Neodiprion lecontei: one gene and its partner. The protein of the gene in region 2 interacts with the protein of the main gene of each other region in a pairwise test. Links are inferred from orthologs where the notes say so. Each region holds a gene or a part of one and is shown on either strand. Other genes may lie near its edges.

The links.
Region 1: the proteins of kinesin-like protein unc-104 (region 2) and liprin-alpha-1 interact in binary tests that used the Caenorhabditis elegans proteins (3 or more experiments, as listed by UniProt). The link is inferred for Neodiprion lecontei from reciprocal best matches to the Caenorhabditis elegans genes unc-104 and syd-2.

The regions. Positions count from the first base shown.
Region 1 is NC_060262.1:1,949,123-1,953,048, reverse strand, and holds the start of liprin-alpha-1, read right to left. Parts: upstream 3,070-3,926; 5' UTR 2,409-3,069; coding exon 2,160-2,408; intron 1-2,159. Other genes in the region: transmembrane protein 183, read left to right, coding at 3,528-3,597, 3,731-3,814. UniProt on the Caenorhabditis elegans protein: May play a role in regulating the structure of the neuronal region, called the active zone, from which synaptic vesicles send neurotransmitter signals across the synapse. This may be in association with the liprin-beta protein hlb-1.
Region 2 is NC_060260.1:31,939,369-31,943,294, forward strand, and holds the start of kinesin-like protein unc-104, read right to left. Parts: upstream 2,504-3,926; 5' UTR 2,433-2,503; intron 1-2,432. Other genes in the region: superoxide dismutase [Mn], mitochondrial, read right to left, coding at 2,931-3,259, 3,424-3,716. UniProt on the Caenorhabditis elegans protein: Motor protein involved in microtubule-associated anterograde transport. Regulates the transport of synaptic vesicle precursors in the axon of DA motor neurons. Regulates the polarized sorting of axonal proteins.

The DNA of each region.
Region 1 (3,926 bases), on a different chromosome or scaffold from region 2:
CTAAATTGACAATCTATGCAGGTAAATGAATTATAATAATGCATGAGAATCGGGAAGTTGGAAGATAAATTTGAAGATCGCTGTTTTTTTTTTCTTTTTGTTGTTTAAAGCAGCATTCCTTGCGCTAGTTGTGAATGGATAAAAAGAACGAGGCTGAAGTTAGTAACGTTAATGATGTATGGAAATGTTGAGAAAAAAAATTACTATTTTGGATCTTTGGAATACCTGAAGAAGAATTTGACTTTACAAAATCTGAGTTCCTTGATTCTGTATTAACGGTTTACTAAATTTCAAGTAATTTTAAAATTGTAAAATGACTACTGTTTCCAAATATCCAGCATTGCAATAATGTTACAAACTTCAGGCTGATCAAATCGAGGGGCGACTCTGGGTCATATCGGGAATGAAAAGTAAAACCGTGCAACGAGACAACACGTTTGTCGTGAAACATCGTCGCGAATTCCCGAGTCTTTATCATCATCGACGGACGGCTTGAGAGTTTATTTGTGATTTATTTTATACGTTTTCTTTGATAAAAATGTTTGCGCACATGTTCGCTGCATGTTCCCTGCATTAATCAAGAGGGGAAGAATATTGCAAACAGAAAACGACAGTCGACCGTTAAATGATTATAGTTTCTGTTTATACGTAGTGATAGTAACGGGGTAAAATGATGATTGGTAAAAATCTATCTCGAGTTTTAGGAACGATAAATCTAATAGGAAAAATTATTAATTTTCTAAATAGACATAAGTTCGAATATATTAAGGAATTGTGTAATATCGAGAGACAAAAATCATCTCGAAAGAATATCACAACAGGCTCATAAAATTTTTTATCGTCTATGTATGATTCAACTTCAAATGTATTTACGACAATTTCAAATATATGATTTCTGTCTTATGTTCTCTTGTTTTTAGTGATTACGAGCGATTTCACGAGGTTGAAGTTTAGTAACGTTATTATCGTAACGAAACATTGGGGAAAACATCGCAATTTTTTCATTTTACACCATTTTTAAGGGACCAAGATTTCAAAAAACGAGTGTGTTTCATTACGGTTTACTGAATTTCAGAAAATTGCAAAATCGCGACGTAACGTTTTTCTTTCCTCAGCACGAATCGTTACGATAACGTTGCCAACTTCAATTTGACGCGATTTCTGCTTTAGCCTGTGATTTTACGTTGATTTTCAACTCGTCAACTGATCTTGATCAATTTATAACATTACTCCTCTCATTTCTGCAATGATTTTCTGTGATTGTTTAACAATTCCCCGTTGTTCTACCTAACACAACGTATAAATCACTGAACATCACCAAGACGTTGTAAAATCATTCAGCAGAAATCGGTAGTAAAATTGTAAACACGAATTAGAAACCGTTTGCCGTAGTACAGAAATCAAGGAAAACCGCATAACAAGACAGAAATCATAGTGGAAAAAAATGACTCGAGATTGACGTTAAGCAAGCGGAAATCACCAAATCCGTTCGTTCGAAATCGAGATCAAAGAGTCTGATCCCGCGAATCTACGAAGCCATCGATAAAAATTGACGTCGAAAGAAGAAGAAAGAAAATCAGATAAGCCTAAGAAACGAAACTGTGTCGCATGTCAATGAAAAAATTTCGGGCATAAAATACACAGATCATTGAAGTTGGTACTCTGATTAATCGGGAGTGAAAAACAAAAGAAGTCCAGCGCAGTTCGCTGCCAGCTTCAGGGTGATCTCGCTCGGTAGTTCGCCGCTCGTGATCGTTAAAAATTTAGGGAGATCCGACAGGATCGGAACAACAACAACAACAACAACAAAATCAGCAGCAGTAATTCATCCAAAGTCGGAAAATGGCGCGAGGGTGTCCCGCCGGCGGGCGGCAATCAATAAGCCTCGAAATATCTCGCATTTCGAGGTCGCCACCGGCGCGGTAGCGAGAGGGAGGCGAGGAAAAGGCGGAAAAAAGAAAAGGGGGATATATAAAAAAAAAAAAAAAGAGACAGAGAGAGATAGAGAAGCTGTTTGAGGGAGGGGGGCAAAGACCCGGGCACTAGGCTGCGGACTCGAGAAGAGAAGAGGGCGAATATCGCTGGGTCTTCTCGCGGCGAGTTTCTCGACTTCCCGGGATCGATCGATCGGCGCTAATTCGCCCCGGACCTTTTCTCACCTGGGGAATGTTCGCGTTTATCTGTCGGTTGAGGGCGTCGCGCTCCTTCTCAACCTCCTGGAGACGAGCCTCGGCCTCCTGGAGTCGCTCTTGGCTCTCCCTGAGCGAGTCCATCAGCTTGTCGCGCTCGTCGAGCATCGACACCATCAGCTGTTCGAAGTTCGCATCCTCGCCCGAGAACTGGGAACTCCGCTGACTGATGCTGTCTTCCGATATCGTCGGCATCACGTCGCACATCATGTTCCACATTTTTTAGTCAACACGGACACGCACACAGTCGCACACACACAGACACCACCCACGGTACACACTTAACACCCACTGTCACGATCTAATCCCTTTCCGAAGTATCCGCCCTTCGCCCAAAAACCGCACATACACGCCCCCGTTTTTCGCCTGCCGAGGGTGAATATCCTCCGACGTTTTATCCCGCAGGACCGACTGCGAGCGTCCGTCTCTCTCTTTCTTTCTCTCTCTATGAATCCCGATCTCTTTATTACTCTCTGGTTCTCTCTCTCCCTCTCTCGCTCTCTCTCGCTTACAGTGTTCGTGTGTAATCACTCGATAACCAGGATACGAAATACTCCCCCCCGTATTATTATTGAAATGATGTATTAGCTCGACGCGGTGCCCGCGCCCCACGCCGACAACCGCTTGCAGCCGAACGCCGAAACCCACGTATCAATGCACCGGCATCTTAGCGACATTATAACTCGGACGAATAAACTAGACTCTCTTGACACACCTACAAATTCCTACCACCCAATGGCCTACACTACTCCATTTTCGACACCCGCGGCCATCTTGCTGTATGACGTCACACGTCAGATTTCACTCGCCCGGGAGCACAAGGATCGTAGATGCGCCGTCGGACTGTCGCGCCACGAGTGGCTGCTTTTCGAACTACTTATCGACTTGGCTACCTGAGCGCTGTTTGTACGCGGCCAACTTCACTTCACTCGGTTAAATCAGGCTGTATTCAAAAAGTATTCAAAATTTGATGATACGTTGATTTGTAGATATCGAATATGTGAGTATTTAGAACACACGCAGCATATTCGTTTGTTCGCGAGTAACTTCGGAAGATAGATTATGCAGGAATGACGGATATTGGGAATCATTGCACGCAACGACGACGGTTTTCGGTAGAAAAAAATGACCGCGAGTTGGTAAGAGAGCTTTTGAAGCGCGAAAGGCAAACCCGACCTTCAGTCGACGTTTTTTCTGGCTGTCCGCAGTCCAACATGGCTGACGATAGTGGTGGTTGGTTTCTGAGAAGATTAATAGATTATTTTGTTGTTTTTCATTCGGTAACAAGATGCATAGAATTTGTTTTATAGAAAAGTGCAAATATTATTATTTAGCGAGATGCCGGGATCACGTAAGGCGGCAAGGCGAAAGCTGACTTCGCATCAGTACAACAAGAAGAGCTTGGGAGGTTAGAATAATAATTCCAGTACTTTGTGGATGATGCAATATACACAGATCTTCCCGAGGATATTTTCCACCACCGAAAGCTTCCTCATCGAAATCCTTAGCCATTCTTAAAGAGAAAAAAATTGATATTTCAGACGTCACGCTGAACGACTTCGCCAATTCTCCATCGGGCAACCACGCGAGGCTTAAAAAAGCAACAACAAACGTCTCTAGTGAAGGTTAGTTTGAACATCTGTCAAAATATTGAATAACCGGCCAACTCACTCGACTTTCGTGACCTTGCCGTCGACTTTCTACCGCGTCTGAGTCTCAGGTTATCACGATTTTCGA
Region 2 (3,926 bases):
GTTACCGACAAAAAATTATGGACGTTGTAATAAACGTAGAAGAGTATTTTGCTTGAATCCAAAAAGTGAAGAAAGGGACCTGCATCTATAGTTAACCTCATTTTCACTTGAAGTATTGCAAAACATGGTATAAGTTTTATTCTTTCAGACACATTTCAATCTCCGACATTGTCAATCTGTGGGGTGTGGAGAGCTTTTTTCCCTCACTACCCCAGCTCTCTCCATGGGATTTATTTTCATGCACGATTGCGTAGCAAAGTGCTATACAGATTTTTCCATCGTGCAAAAAAAGTTTTGTATCCACTTTAGCGCACTCGCTCAGGTATACGGCTTATACGTCTAGTATACCTGCGTATAAGCACGCGTATTTTAATTTCGGGTCTTAAAATGGAATAAACCACCGTACAGGTAAAGAATTTTCAGGAATACTATGCGAGGACGCAATTTACGAACGGTAATCCCGATAAACTGCATATTGCTTAGGTACACCAGCTGCGGTTAATCTCGAAACTCATTAAAACGAGCACATACAGAGAATGGGTAAAAAGAAATCAAAGAGCGAGCTGAATGTGAGATGCATTCTAAAAAAGAAAAATAAAAAAATCACTCATACCGCACGAGACAAAGGGATCGAAAAGCGAGACATCTCTTCTGGCATTGAAGTATTTATATGTATAACATGCAAGCCCGTGAGTTTTTGCGAATAAAAGTACAGAATTCTGGAGGGCCTTGACGGACGTGAAATTCTCGTATAAAATTCCCACTCGATGTAGAGCTGGTGGCCTTTGATAAATTAATAACTTCATCAGCCTCTGCATACAAGCCAAGTTTTCTCTCCGCAGCTTAGCTAATACGATTCCCGCGCTCACCTCGGAAGCTCAGCTCAGGTGTGCGTAGCGTCGGAAATGTATGTCGCGCAGTTTTAAAACGCGGGTGGATGCTGAAGAGATTTACAGTAAAAGTGGACGGTCGAATGTGACTCGTTTTGCCAGAAGCTCGTCAGTAAGACCGAACGTAGCTATATACAATCCTTCTCCGTATATTTCTCCCTCTCATTTTGCATTGCAGTGTGACATACGTTGAAAAACAACTCTTTCAACTGCGTTACGAGTTTCAGTTTTTGCACTTTGACTCAATAATCGATGTCATCTGCCTGCCTAATAACATTCCGTAAAATTGAACATTGGAAAACCTGACAATCGCCCTTCAAGTATAGCTACTTTATTCTTCACGTTTCGTGACGGGGAAAATTAAAAGAATTTCAAGTGATTGACTGCCTTTTAATTAAATTCACCGAGGGTGAGAACTTGCAAGTAGCCCTCAGGAATTCGGAGCATCTGCAGTCTCGGCCGTATTCGAATTTCCCGTTTAAATACGATCGGGTAAAACTGGGAGGCAGAAAAGTTTCATTGCATGCAGGGAGATCGCAGCGACTGTTGATGATCGGAGAATTATCGAGTGACGCGCAGCGATAACGAACCAAACCAGATCTATTGCATGTGCAATTGAAAGGGTGGATATCGAAGAGCTAACAGGCTCGTGTTTTGCGGGGCGTCGCGACGCTTCAGGTCGCACGGCGCCATCCAACCCAGGAATCAATGATTGTTATCCGGTGATAACTTTGTCACACATATCGAAACCAGCAACTTTTTGTTATACCACAAATTGGGAGAGGATCTATCCGCGACGAGATGAAATAACCCCTGTCGCATTTTGCGGGGGATATATTTTCAGCTCGTGTGTTTTACGTCGATGGATTTTTCACTTTTCTGTTAATTTGAAGAAAAGAATAAGTAAACACAGAATTCCGTATGTAAATGGAAGACGATGTGGTTTCGCATATTTACAGACATGGATAAACTTTCGGAGGTGAATTGTAAGGTTCGATTAATTGGTTCGACGTACGCTCTAAATAAGCTCATCAGTTACTGCGACAAAGCCTCTAAGCTGCAAATTCGCGGAGGTGTTGCGTCCTGATCGTATTGTATTGTAGCGGCGGTAAAAAATTGTGAAAAAAATTTCACCGAGCTATTAATGAGATCAATTCAAGACTCCCATTGTTCTGGCTAAGATTCAAAAGTACAATTACGCATGAATCGATGCATGACATGAACCGTACAAAGAAATAAAGAAGTCGCGTAAATACTGTCTGAAATACGAATTTAGAATTCGCGAAGATGAATAATGAATCGGCAATATAAAAACAACGCGCATCGCGCGTGAGTATGAGTGGGTGTAAATAAATAAACTGTCAAAGTGTTGACAGTACTTTGTATGCAAACTTCGCATGCATAGTTATTGATATGAAGTTGATTGATGCAGCGTGAGGAGCTGTGCAGCTGATAAAACGACACCGAAGAAATGACGATTGTGTTGGAAAACTTTGAATAATATGGAAATTATCATTATGCGAAAGTAACCTCTTGACTTACCAGATAGGCCGAAGAAGATCCGAAAACAGCTGAGGTCGAGCAGCCATACTATCAAGTGGTTCGAATTCCGGCGTTCCTTCGTTTCTGCGCGCGCGATCGATATCTATGAAGCGCCGATACGTTTTTGTCACGCGACGTAATTTTGTTCAAATATTGAGAAATACAGGAGTAATATTTACCAAACTAATTTGTCAAAAAGGTATATCATGTTGGTAACATCTGTAATCAGCCAACGGTTCGATTCTTGTACATTTTATACTAAAAGATGAGAATATCAAGTCATCTAACGTTGTAGGACAGGTGGAAGTTTTTTACGCAGAATTAATTTTTGAATAGAATATAATTTTATGTATAAAGTAATTTACACTGAATAAAATATCCGGAGTATTTCGATTGTGTAATAAAGTGAGATATTGATATTTAATTTCAAAGACAGTACTCAATCGTCTTGAGTCTCTAGTGACTTTCTAGAAACTATAAATGCTTGGGGCAGTACATCTAACATCCAGCTGCTTTCTTGAAGCGGTCATTGATATCATTCCAATTTGCAATGTCCCATATCGCCTTGACATACTCTGGTCTGACATTCTTGTACTGGAGATAATATGCGTGTTCCCAAACATCGATACCAAACAGTGGCACAAGTCCTGTTGTGGCTTGCAGAGGATCTTGATTAGCGCAGGCTGCAATCTGTAACCTTTTATCTTTAGCGTTGTACCCAAGCCAGCCCCAGCCAGAACCTTGAACGGCGACAGTGGCCTCCGAAAGTCGTTTCTTCAGTTCTTCCAGACTGGAGAAATCCTTTTCAATTTGCTTGAGGAGAGCACCTGAACAAAATGCATCAAGAAAATATACCTGGCATTGATTAGCACCCTCAGGAAAAAATTGGAATACCCATAATTGATAATCAACCATTTTTCTCGTCATACTTGAGAAAAATCAATAAAACATTGAGTCATAAATCCAACTGAGAATTTCAAATATAACTAACCATCTGGTTTCCCACCATTGGGCGACAAATTGTTCCAAAAGATGGAATGATTCAAATGTCCACCGCCATTGAACTTAATCGCAGGTGCCAATGCAATCTCAGTATTGACGTCACCCTTACTCACAGCTTCCTTCAATTTTTCCTCAGCAATGTTCAAATTGTTTACATACGTTGCATGATGTTTACTGTGATGAAGCTCCATGATTTCTGCACAGATGACTGGTTCCAGTGCCCTGTAGTCGTAGGGCAACTCAGGCAGAGTGTGCTTTTGCCTGGCAACATTCTTGGCGCTCCTTAAAAATTTTTAGAAATAGATATCATATAACCGTGAAGAATCGTTTATTTAGCAATGTAGATCAAAGTCGCTCCGATGAAATTCTCTATCGAGGATTATCTAACTGGTCTAGATACATGTCATTGTGAAAATTAACCAATAATCTTAGGTTAACAATTACATAATACGCAATTTAAACAATCAAAACCTATAAATGTGATTCAATACT